Linked DNA regions of Macaca mulatta. The protein of the gene in region 2 purifies or fractionates together with the protein of the main gene of each other region. This does not show direct contact. Links are inferred from orthologs where the notes say so. Each region holds a gene or a part of one and is shown on either strand. Other genes may lie near its edges.

Region 1 (2,274 bases), on a different chromosome or scaffold from region 2:
CAGATTTGATCTTAGCTTGAAGACTGTTGGTGCTGACGGTTTCCAGACAGCTGTTTGAAGGCTGCAGGACAGAGGTCCAGCAAAGCCAAAGAGGGGCAGTCGTCGGTGGCCTTCATGACAAATTACACGACCTAACTAATTCAAACTAGACTCAGGAGACCTCATCTAATGTGTAGCATTCTCATTGATTACAACTTTTAACGATGTATCACATGTCTTTCATGACTAGAATACAATTTAAGCTAATTCTTCTCCTGTTTAAACCTAGGCCTGTGATACCTGGGCTGTGATCCTCTAGAGCCAGCGTGGACTCACATCATTCTACGGGTTGAAGACCACTCACTCCCTGAGGAGCCTTGTACATACAAGCCTTTTATTTATAACTTATTTTGTATCGAAACTTTTAACCGATCCTGAAGGAAAAAAAACTTTTCCGACATCTCTGTTCTTGGTCTTTTGTGACGCAGGTTGAAGCGGGAGGAATAGAATAGATACACTGCTTTGGAGGAGATAAACCAATTTTATGTCTATCATGTTATACAAAAATCTAGAAATAATAGATTTGTACAGGAAAAATGATAATGAGAGCGCAAAACATATAATTTAAATTTGGTGTTTTTCCCCATGATATTAGGACGATAATCATTTCAAAGCACATGTCTAGCTTCAGAGTAGGACTTGTTCACTGGCCAGAGCCTGCCATGAAACTAAGGCTTTCAGCGTCTGTCTGCTCTACTGGCTCTTGACAAATCTCTTGAGGTCTTCAAGAAAACTAATGTACTCCTGGTGCTCCAGGGCTGTGCTGAGCTCCACCAACTCATCTGCAAAAGTGTTGTCCACCCCTCGGTCCGCAAGGAAATCCATTAGGTGGTCATATAAGGCCTGCAAAGAACAACATTTACTAGTTTAAAAACAAAAAAAAATCTGTAATGAACATTAAAATGTTTCTTTCTCCCCTTGAACTAGGACCCTTCCTTCCACGGCCCAAAAGGTTCCCCCATCTTATCAAGCACTCACCCAGTCCAAGGAATCTGTGTTGAGTGTGTAATTAGTATCCTTCCATTCAGACTCGCCACTGGACTGAAAGCTAACTTCCCTGATAGAGAAGATGTCACTCTCAGCCTCGTCTTCTTGTCCAACCTGAGAAGAAACAATATTTGGGGAAACTGAAGGGTTCTCCAGGATAAGCCAGACTCATGCGAAGAAAGGGGGCTGCTGACAGCATGAAACTGATCAGGTTTTAACCCTCTTCCCTCACTCCCCTCCCCTCTCCCCCTGCTGGGCTGGTCTAAGCTAGAAAGTCTTTAAATTTATGCTAAAAGGGACAGGAAGTTCCCAAGGGACACGCTGTGCTCCCCAGGGGTGCCAAGGGGCTAGCACTCCATCCTACATACCTCATCCTCTGGATAATGACAGTCCAGCACAAGGGCCTTCTTGCCATCATTCTTTATAACTTCAACCACGAAATTGGGAGTTGATGTCAGTTCAGGCTGGGAAAACAAGAAGTCAGTACATGCCACTGCTGGAAGGAGATGGATGCCTGGATCAAGGATCTCTGTTCAGATTTCTCAGAGCCACCATTAGGATGTTATGTAGCCATTTTAATAGTCTTATGCCATACTATTCCCAAATGAAGAGCTTGATCTCACTTCTGTTGGCACCCTGCTTGTTTAAGTAACACACTGGATTTTCAATTAAGAAATCTGGATACCAGCCGCCTCAGCTATGTGCCAATTAACTGAGTTTATATCAGTTCCTTAACATTCCAAGCCTTTTCCTCCACCCATACACTGCAAAGCTTTCCTAAAGTTTCAAGATTCCAGCTTGACTGTTCCAGGAGTCTTCAAAAGGGACCAGGGTCAAAGGCTGGGGAACCTGGCCATCTTTATGGCTGAATAACAGCAGCAGCTTTTCCTCTGATGTGGAGCTCTGGGAGCAGACTGGGTCCAATGTCAGAGAGATGCTAGTTGGGGTTGCTGGGAAAGAAGCACACCAGAGAGCTGTGCCATCCACACCAGGTCATGACCCAACACTGTACTGATGGCTTTTGGGCAGAAGGTCTAGGGACTCTGTGGCCCTCGTACTGGCTGGTTACCAGGCTGGGCACAGCACTTCCTAAAATGTCTGAAGAGTAGGCATGATCCAGTTAAAGTCTCTTATGCCCCTGGCATTCTTTTTTTTTTTTTTCTTCGAGGCAGAGTGTTGCTCTGTTGCCAGGCTGGAGTGCAGTGGTGTGATCTCGGCTCATCGCAACCTCCGCCTCCCGGGTTCAAG
Region 2 (2,417 bases):
CTCCCTTGCAGAACTGGTCTCAAGACAAATGTTGAGGTACATGTAACAGATCAGGAAACATGTGCTGCTTCTGTTTCCCATCACCACCCAAGGAATAATCCACCACCTGCATACACGCAAATATGCAAATACATACACACATAGACACATGCATGCAGGCACCATGGCTTTATCACTCAGTTCTGAAATAGGCCAAATGCATGGAACACATGAACACCAGACAGATACTTACTTCTGCTTCACAAACTCATCAGTGATGAGTTTCTTCACGTCCCCAAAGAGTGAATGATGTATCCTGAGAGAAGAAAAAGAAAAATAAATAAACAAATACATTCACTCAAGGTTGTGACACTTCCCAGATGTGGGCAGAGGCATTTCCAAGATAGAAAAGAGGTTTCCAGCACAAGAGGGAAGCTCCATAGAAGCCCAAGAGACACTGATAGAGGGAGCAGAGAGTTCAGGCCCATCATCCACCCAGGTCAGAACCCTGGGCCCTCTACCCAGTCCAGCACCCCACCCGCTCCACCAGACCACCAGACTGATGCAATCCTAGGACCATCCTCTCTTGCCAAAGGACAACACGGACAGCAAGCGCTGAGAGAGCCCAATCATACCCAGGGCGCAGCCCCAACTTGCGCAGCACCTCCCAGATGACAGCTGCGAGGGGAGGCAAGAGGAGACAGGGACAGAAATTGAACACATGGAATCCAGACCATGGCCACCCATTCAGCTGCATGCCCAGCCACTCACCCTCACTGGACCGATTTCCATTCATGAAGATGATGCTAAGAAGCACCATGAGCAGACCCAGCTTGGGTGAGTCCTTAGTCCTAGAGAAATAACAGGACAGAGAGGTTTATGTCCAGCAGCCACCACAGACACACCAGCCAGCTCACTAGGCTAGCCTCTCCCAGATGCCTCAGATACAGAATTCTGCCCAGTCTCTGCTGCCAGCTCTATGCCACCCTGGGCAAGGCACTTAGACTTGCAAGCCTCAGTTTACTATTCAGTAAAATAGAAAAATCATATTCTCCCTTCCCTGGGTTTCCAAGAAGACGGAAGAATGGCTGTCAACCTGGTACAACACAAGCACTCAGTCCATGTGAATCCCTTCTTTCTCTCCCAGAACCTTCAGCCCCACTGACACTCCTGCGCTTCATGCATCCTGATCCACCCACACCAGGAAGCCCTCCTTGAGAACCACTCTGCCAAGGCCAGGCCAGGCACCCAGTAGGAAGAGGCAAGCAATGACAGGCCTGCTTTCCTGGGAAGCTTCTACAGAAACAGCAAAGCTGACAGCAGGAATGTCCCACCTCAGGCTCCTACACCCTTCAGTCAATCATAATCAGGCATCACTACTGTGAGCAGGGCTCCATCTATGCATGGGAACTGGGACGGGGCTTTTGAGTCCCTGCCTTTCCTGACTCTCTAAGAGGATGGGGGAAGTAGGACAAAGAAGGGGTAGCAGCACATGGCCAATGCAGAAGCCCCCCACACCTCAGCCCTTTCCCAGCTTACGTTCCCAGTATGCCCGCATCAGTGGGCTCCAAGGTGCTGAGAAGAATGTACAAGTGGTCATTCTTATCAATTTCCTTCAATTGAATCCCAAATACCTGTGGATGGGAAGAACAGCTTGTGAGATGACAAAATTCAGCTTCTGGGGCATGCTGCAGCTCCCTATGTACCTAGGAGTTTTGCATGTGTGAGAAATCAGTGAGGTAATGCACACAAAGTACATAGCTAAGTGCCTGGCACCCAGTAAACATGCAGCAAATGTACTATTGTCATCATCGTCTTTGCGATGAGTGGGAATCTAGGGAGACAGAGAATGGGGAATGAAAGGGAGAGGTGAAATCTGAAATACATGGCATGAGCTGTGGACAGAAGCCAGGACTAAGTTGGGTGTCTTGGGTCCTAACTGTACTTTTACCATTGACTTGCTGTGTGACCCATCGCTCATCTACACCCCTCCCTAGGCCATTGTCTGCCCCTCAGCATAGTGATGGAGCTAGATTAGCAGGTCTCTCTGGTTCCCCTGAGAAGGAACTTGCACATTTTTGTTCAATTCAAGGCTTCCCCACTGTGCCCATCCCCCAGGGCTGCCCCTTCACCTTCTCCAAGGAATAGCCTGCTCGTTCAATGATTTCAGGGTACACATCAGTGTATTCTTTGATGATGTCCTTCAGCATGTCTGCAAGGGGAAAGTGGTGTAAGCACCTGACTGAAGAGATGCCAGGTGGCCCTGATGCCCAAGCTATAGACTCTTTGCCAACCACACCAAGGGTGGCATAACCAGGTTCTGCGCTTATCAACAGAGATGCTAGCACCGCCAAATTAGAACTTTGGGAGGACAGAGATATAAGCATAAGAGCAGCAGATATCCCCAGCACAATGATGCAAGGGCAATGGAGGGCAGA
Region 3 (3,219 bases), on a different chromosome or scaffold from region 2:
CCTTTAATCAATGAGATTCTTAAAAAGTGAAAAGGAAGGGCTACAGATTCTCAGTAACTAAAACAATCTCATGTGCCCTTGAGGAGAAAGTCCTTGATGTTTTTAAGAATGTCACTTTATTTATTTATTTTTTTAACTGAATGATACAGAGGTATACAATTTTCAAACTGCCATTTTAGGCAGGAAATTTGAAAATTGAAATGTTTTTGTCAAGCATTACCAAATGGCACAGATTGTGATAGGTCAGCCTGGTTTTGGGGTCCTTTCTCTACTGGTTGATATGCATAAAACCTTTTAAAAATCAAGAATATTACCAGAGAGCAACAGGAATAAACAAGCTAAGTAAAGAAGAAAAAAGAAAAATAGAAAAAAATAAACATGAAGAACAAAGCCCCACCACTGTCCTGTGCTGTTTGTGTGGCCCCACTGCACCGAGGCCGCAGGCTAGCTGCTAGACGCATCTAGAGTTCCCTGATTCCTAAAATTATTTATCTTAAATCCCATTTGGCCTAACTTTCTTAAGGCATCAGCTTTGAGTTATAAATGTAACCAACACACAAGCAAATATGCCATTGACTTAGTGCTGCATAACTGTGGGACGGTCACTTCCGTTGAGCCTGACCTTGTAGAGAGACACAAATAGTTGGCAAATTAATGTGAACGCTGTGAACACCCCATGTGCCTTTCTTTTTCTCCCAGCTTCCTGGACAAGATCGATGTGATCAAGCAGGCTGACTATGTGCCGAGCGACCAGGTGTGCAAAACCCTTCACCACCAGAGGACCCTGAGCCCTCTTCCCAAACTACCCCAGACTTTTGCTTTAGATTGGAAATTATTACTATTTCGATTGGCTTTGCTGAGATCCATTGACCTCAATTTTGTTCTAGGACCTGCTTCGCTGCCGCGTCCTGACTTCTGGAATCTTCGAGACCAAGTTCCAGGTGGACAAAGTCAACTTCCAGTAAGCCCACTGTTACCTTTTTATATAACAGAGATCATGGTTTCTTGACATTTACCCCAGCCCCTCTGGAATAACCAGCTGTCTTCCTCTCCACCAGCATGTTTGACGTGGGTGGCCAGCGCGATGAACGCCGCAAGTGGATCCAGTGCTTCAATGGTAGGACGCTGTGGGCTTGGCTGTTCGTGAAGAACGCTTTGCTTCTGTGTTGTTAGGGATCAGTGTCGCTGCTCACGCTCTTGGCTTTGCTTTCTTTGGTTAAGATGTGACTGCCATCATCTTCGTGGTGGCCAGCAGCAGCTACAACATGGTCATCCGGGAGGACAACCAGACCAACCGCCTGCAGGAGGCTCTGAACCTCTTCAAGAGCATCTGGAACAACAGGTTTGTGGAGTGACCGCCCACCCCCTGCGCTTGCCCAGGAGGCCCTGGTCTGCACTGTTTGTAGAAAAGAACCCTGTGCAAGCATTCCAGACCCCTGGCCAAAAGCGCGCTTCTCCCGGGCATTCACACGGCCTCCCTTCTTGTAGATGGCTGCGCACCATCTCTGTGATTCTGTTCCTCAACAAGCAAGATCTGCTCGCTGAGAAAGTCCTTGCTGGGAAATCGAAGATTGAGGACTACTTTCCAGAATTTGCTCGCTACACTACTCCTGAGGATGGTGTGTATGGCTTCCACTCTTTTGCTGGCTGTTCATTGCAGTGGTTCTTTTTCAAACAGTAGGGCTGAAAGCCGCCATCCCCCTCCCACCACCAAACCATAAAGCATCTGTAAGAGAAGCAAGAAAAACACACTTGCATTAATTCTCATATGGAAAAATCAGGGTTTTGAAGACTTCAGGAGCTACAATGATGCTAGCACCCCAGCTCTGCTTGACTTTTTAATTACATTAATATATATTCCCTTTTTTTTATAGCTACTCCCGAGCCCGGAGAGGACCCACGCGTGACCCGGGCCAAGTACTTCATTCGAGATGAGTTTCTGGTGAGTTGAGCCTGTCTTTAGTTTCCTCTCTTGCTCCTCCTCTTTTTCTCATGGATGTAAATTTACTTCAGGGGTTCAGCTACCCAGGTCCATGGTTTTAGTTCACGCACATCCAGTGTGGATTTGAGTTCTTTGCACCCCTCCTTTTGCTTTCGTTTTCATATGACATCAGAGACTGGCCAACAGCCGTCCCTGGTAGGTGTCCCCATCAGTGATAGGGTGGTTCCTGGCGAGGGTGTCACTGACGAGTCCCTGCGTTTGTACCCGCAGAGGATCAGCACTGCCAGTGGAGATGGGCGTCACTACTGCTACCCTCACTTCACCTGCGCTGTGGACACTGAGAACATCCGCCGTGTGTTCAACGACTGCCGTGACATCATTCAGCGCATGCACCTTCGTCAGTACGAGCTGCTCTAAGAAGGGAACCCCCAAATTTAATTAAAGCCTTAAGCACAATTAATTAAAAGTGAAACGTAATTGTACAAGCAGTTAATCACCCACCATAGGGCATGATTAACAAAGCAACCTTTCCCTTCCCCCAAGTGATTTTGCGAAACCCCCTTTTCCCTTCAGCTTGCTTAGATGTTCCAAATTTAGAAAGCTTAAGGCGGCCTACAGAAAAAGGAGAAAAGGCCACAGAAGTTCCCTCTGACTTTCAATAAAAATAAATAAAACAACAGCAGCAAACAAACAAAATGAAATAAAAGAAACAAATGAAATAAATATTGTGTTGTGCAGCATTAAAAAAAATCAAAATAAAAATTAAATGTGAGCAAAGAATGATGGGACTCCCGTGAGTTATTTGTGGTTCTGCGCAGATTCCTGTCATTCATGGTTTGACTTGGCCCTTACATCAAAAGTTGGGAGGCCCCAAGGTGAAGTGGGTATAAAATCTCACCACTGTATGTTTTCTGGTGACTGTAAAATGTAGGTGTCTTGAAATAATTTTCAGACAATAGGAAAAGTCCACTCCTGTTGATCTCCCAAACTTTTACCCCATAGTGGACCACTATGCCCCAGTCACCTCTACATTTTGATCACTGCCATCCTATCCAAAGATTCTGCCAACTTATGCCATTACATCATCACACAGTTTGCCTGCTGACCCAGGCTTCCTAAGAAAAGTAGTGTATTTTTTGCTATAAGATAGGGACTAAATGATGTGGAGAAATACAGGAGCGCCGCGTTTCAAATCAATGGGGTTATTCAAGAAATGGTGTAGCCATTTGGGGAAAATTTAGACTGGATCCCTACCTCATTGCACACACCAAAATGAA
Region 4 (3,500 bases), on a different chromosome or scaffold from region 2:
GGCGAGGTGGCGGGCGCCTGTAGTCCCAGCTACTCGGGAGGCTGAGGCAGGAGAATGGCGTAAACCCGGGAGGCGGAGCTTGCAGTGAGCTGAGATCCGGCCACTGTACTCTAGCCCGGGCTACAGAGCGAGACTCCGTCTCAAAAAAAAAAAAAAGAAAAAAAAAAAGAAAAAAATTGAGGATGGGCAGGGAGTAGGTAATGGGGTAGTGAAGGAACAGACAAAATGAACTCCTGTGGTATGAAGTGAAGGAGGCATTAGCTAGTGAGTCCAGCTCTGTCTTTGTCCTTAAAGCTACAAAGCCAGTCCAGAAGTATGAGTGCTGAGAATCCTTGTGCTGATTCATGACCCCGGCCAGAGTGCCCTGGGGAGCATGCTGCTCCAGCGTTTAGACACCCAGCCATGCCCCTAACCCATGTCTTAAACCCCCGGGTGATGCTGGCACACCGAGGCTTGGGAGCTTTGCCTTGCTCATGGGTGGTGTTTACACACCCAACGCTCATGTCTCAGCAGCAAACAGCAAGTGCTGCCAGGGTTGTGGTCACTTAATGGGAAGAGAGACTCAGAAGAGCCCAGTGAAGATTGAAAAGGCAGGTATGAGACTAAGTAGAGTAAACATTCAACTCCTGATGAAGGTCAGGGTCTTGTAGTAAATGTCTCTAAAATCAGGGGGTTGGATCGTGTACCATTTGAATGTTGCATGGCTTCATTGAGTGTGGTTAGAAGTCCCTGTCTGTCTTGGTGTGCTTAGCTCATCCAAGCATCAGCTTTCACTGAGGAGCTGCGCCACTCTACGGGGGCACTGGTGGGCATTTCAGCACTCTCCAGTTAGAAATGCAGTTTCTGCCTCGCCGAGATGCAGTGCCTTAGTAACACTTACAGCTTATAAGGCTTAAGGACTTTCTCTTTCTCTCCTGCACCATCATGTATAGTTCTGCAGGACATGAGTTAAATTTCTCCATAAAGCACAAATGCACTGAATGGCCACATGGCCATAGCCTAGGGGCTGTTTGCCTTTCCTCCTGTTAATATATTAACCCTCTCAAAATGATTTTCTCAAGCTTGAGTGCCAGCCCATGGCACGTGATGGAGGAGAGGGGAGGGGGGCATAGAGGCACTCAGGCCAGCTTCAGAAGTGGTGGATGGAGCTTGCGACGATGTCTGTCAGGAGATGCAAGGCTTTGGGGATTTCTAGTTTAAACCTCAAGGTGAAAAATGTTACATTTTGTCTACCAGCACAACTTACTCCTGTGTGGGCTTTAAAATTCTGGGACTTGTCACTGTAACTTAAATATGTTTTGTCTTTTTTTTTTTTTTCCTAGCATCCGGGGATGGAGAATCACTGGTAAGATTTGTTGTTACTAGTCTGATTTTGCTGTTGAAGTCTCTCCTGAGTGAATGTCTACTTGTCTGCTTGTTTAAAAAAGTCCAGTCCTGGCCGGGCGCGGTAGCTCAAGCCTGTAATCCCAGCACTTTGGGAGGCCGAGACGGGCGGATCACGAGGTCAGGAGATCGAGACCATCCTGGCTAACACAGTGAAACCCCGTCTCTACTAAAAAATACAAAAAACTAGCCGGGCGAGGTGGCGGGCGCCTGTAGTCCCAGCGGGCTGAGGCAGGAGAATGGCGTAGACCCGGGAGGCGGAGCTTGCGGTGAGCTGAGATCCGGCCACTGCACTCCAGCCTGGGCGACAGAGCGAGACTCCGTCTCCAAAAAAAAAAAAAAAAAATAAATAAATAAAAAGTCCAGTCCTGGCTGTGTATGGACTGCGTATGCCTGTAATCTTAATGCTTTGGGAGGCTGAGGTGGAAGGACTGCGTGAGTCCGGGAGTTTGAGACCAGCCTGGGCAACATAGCACAGCCCCATCTCTACAAAAAATTAAAATCAAATAAATTAACTGGCCGAACACAGTGACTCACACCTGTAATCCCTGCATTTTGGGAGGCCAAGGTGGGTGGATCACCAGAGGTCAGGAGTTCAAACCAGTCTGGCCAACATGGTGAAACCCCGTTTCTGCTTAAAATACACACACACACACACACACACACACACACACACACACAAAAATTAGCTGGACATGTTGGCAGTGCCTATAATCTCAGCTACTTGGGAGGCTGAAGCAGGAGAATCACTTGAACCCGAGAGGAGGAGGTTGCAGTGAGCTGAGATCGCACCACTGTATTCCATCGGGTGACAGAGGGAGATTCCGTCTCAAAAGATAAAATAATAAATTAGCTGGACGTGGTGGTGCACTGTGTAGTTCCAGGGTCACTGGGGCCCAGGAGCTTGAGGCTATAGTGAGCTGTGATTGCACCACTGCACTCCAACCTGGGTGATAGAAAAGTAAAAGTACGTGTTTCATATGTTGGTTTCAGTAGCAAACGTGTAGTGCTTTAATACTGCCCGTTCCCCATGTGTGAGACTCTGATACCCCCTACTCTGAGTGAGACCTTTGGACAGGTGATGGAGCTGTGAGGCCCTCAATTCCCACTTGCTCTGCCATTTTGCTTCAGTAGCTCTTTAAAGCTACTTGCAGTTGTTTTAAAAGGGCTTTGAGTATCTAGTGGCTGTCCCCTAGCAGTGCAGGAGTTTGGTGTTTTAAGTCAAGTAAATCGTAAGTGAGGGGCTGAGGTTTAGCTGAGGGTGGTGAAGCAAATGTTTTTATCCCATTAAAATGAGTTAACACGTGGGTTTTTCCTCCTCAGGATGAAGATTCTGAATTCACATTAGCCTCTGATTTTGAAATTGGACACTTTTTCCGTGAGCGGATAGTCCCGCGGGCTGTGCTGTACTTCACTGGGGAGGCCATAGAGGATGATGACAATGTATGAGGCTCGGGGAAGGGGGGCTCCCACCTGGGTGCTTATCTCTGTTGGTGCAGAGTGGCCCTGAATTGTGGCTTGGGAAACCCCCATGCCTAATCTTTTTATGACATCATCAGTCAGATACGTAGTCTAAGCTGCTGTCCTTGTTGTGGGGGGAATATACTTGAAGAGGAGAGGTCTGAGGAACAGAGCAGAAAAAGCAGGTGTCTGTGAGGCAGTTTCAGAGATGATTGCCAGTTTCCTATGTGAGCCCTGCCTAGTGATTCAACAGTATTCTCTAAAAACCTAAGCTTCAGGGTACTTCTGAACATGGGGAAAATCTCTTTCATGGAGGTCTGACCACAGCAAACATTTATTGACAGTGGACTCATGCTAGCCTGTATTTCATCAACCCAAAAGAAATAGAAATTCCTGAACTTCTGTCTAATTAGGTAAAAAGGAAAAAGACCCATGCTCCCAAGAAAACAACAAGATTGCATGTCACTTTCCTTTCTGGGCTTGAGGGAAGCCAGCTCTTCCACGGTCAGAACTTGCGGGCACACAGCCCGTGCACCGCTCAGAAACTCCCATCCTCACCAAGGTTCAGGCAGCTTCAAGTCTTCTTGATCTGTGGAAAATAAAGTTTTGTTTTATAGAATGTTACTGGAAGTGTGTTCTAGATGACATTCTCTTGC

What was found. The genes of interacting proteins can lie anywhere in the genome.
Region 1: the proteins of MAGED2 (region 2) and C1QBP purify together in Homo sapiens (affinity purification with mass spectrometry; 3 studies listed by BioGRID and IntAct, counting the BioPlex papers as one, with this or other methods). This does not show direct contact. The link is inferred for Macaca mulatta from reciprocal best matches to the Homo sapiens genes MAGED2 and C1QBP.
Region 3: the proteins of MAGED2 (region 2) and guanine nucleotide-binding protein G(s) subunit alpha isoforms XLas purify together in Homo sapiens (affinity purification with mass spectrometry; 3 studies listed by BioGRID, counting the BioPlex papers as one, with this or other methods). This does not show direct contact. The link is inferred for Macaca mulatta from reciprocal best matches to the Homo sapiens genes MAGED2 and GNAS.
Region 4: the proteins of MAGED2 (region 2) and NAP1L4 purify together in Homo sapiens (affinity purification with mass spectrometry; 3 studies listed by BioGRID and IntAct, counting the BioPlex papers as one, with this or other methods). This does not show direct contact. The link is inferred for Macaca mulatta from reciprocal best matches to the Homo sapiens genes MAGED2 and NAP1L4.

The regions. Positions count from the first base shown.
Region 1 is NC_133421.1:6,934,872-6,937,145, forward strand, and holds the end of C1QBP (complement component 1 Q subcomponent-binding protein, mitochondrial), read right to left. Parts: intron 2,229-2,274; exon of another isoform or gene 2,085-2,228; intron 1,491-2,084; coding exon 1,395-1,490; intron 1,141-1,394; coding exon 1,018-1,140; intron 883-1,017; coding exon 733-882; 3' UTR 501-732; downstream 1-500.
Region 2 is NC_133426.1:54,650,499-54,652,915, reverse strand, and holds part of MAGED2 (melanoma-associated antigen D2), read right to left. Parts: intron 2,192-2,417; coding exon 2,112-2,191; intron 1,614-2,111; coding exon 1,519-1,613; intron 831-1,518; coding exon 751-830; coding exon of another isoform or gene 714-750; intron 658-713; coding exon 615-657; intron 296-614; coding exon 233-295; intron 1-232. UniProt on the Homo sapiens protein: Regulates the expression, localization to the plasma membrane and function of the sodium chloride cotransporters SLC12A1 and SLC12A3, two key components of salt reabsorption in the distal renal tubule.
Region 3 is NC_133415.1:111,699,117-111,702,335, forward strand, and holds the end of guanine nucleotide-binding protein G(s) subunit alpha isoforms XLas, read left to right. Parts: exon of another isoform or gene 1-699; coding exon 700-754; exon of another isoform or gene 755-887; coding exon 888-961; exon of another isoform or gene 962-1,058; coding exon 1,059-1,117; exon of another isoform or gene 1,118-1,221; coding exon 1,222-1,342; exon of another isoform or gene 1,343-1,488; coding exon 1,489-1,619; exon of another isoform or gene 1,620-1,726; intron 1,727-1,874; coding exon 1,875-1,942; intron 1,943-2,212; coding exon 2,213-2,359; 3' UTR 2,360-2,719; downstream 2,720-3,219. UniProt on the Homo sapiens protein: Guanine nucleotide-binding proteins (G proteins) function as transducers in numerous signaling pathways controlled by G protein-coupled receptors (GPCRs).
Region 4 is NC_133419.1:2,859,965-2,863,464, reverse strand, and holds part of NAP1L4 (nucleosome assembly protein 1-like 4), read left to right. Parts: intron 1-1,322; coding exon 1,323-1,345; intron 1,346-2,706; coding exon 2,707-2,826; intron 2,827-3,500. UniProt on the Homo sapiens protein: Acts as a histone chaperone in nucleosome assembly.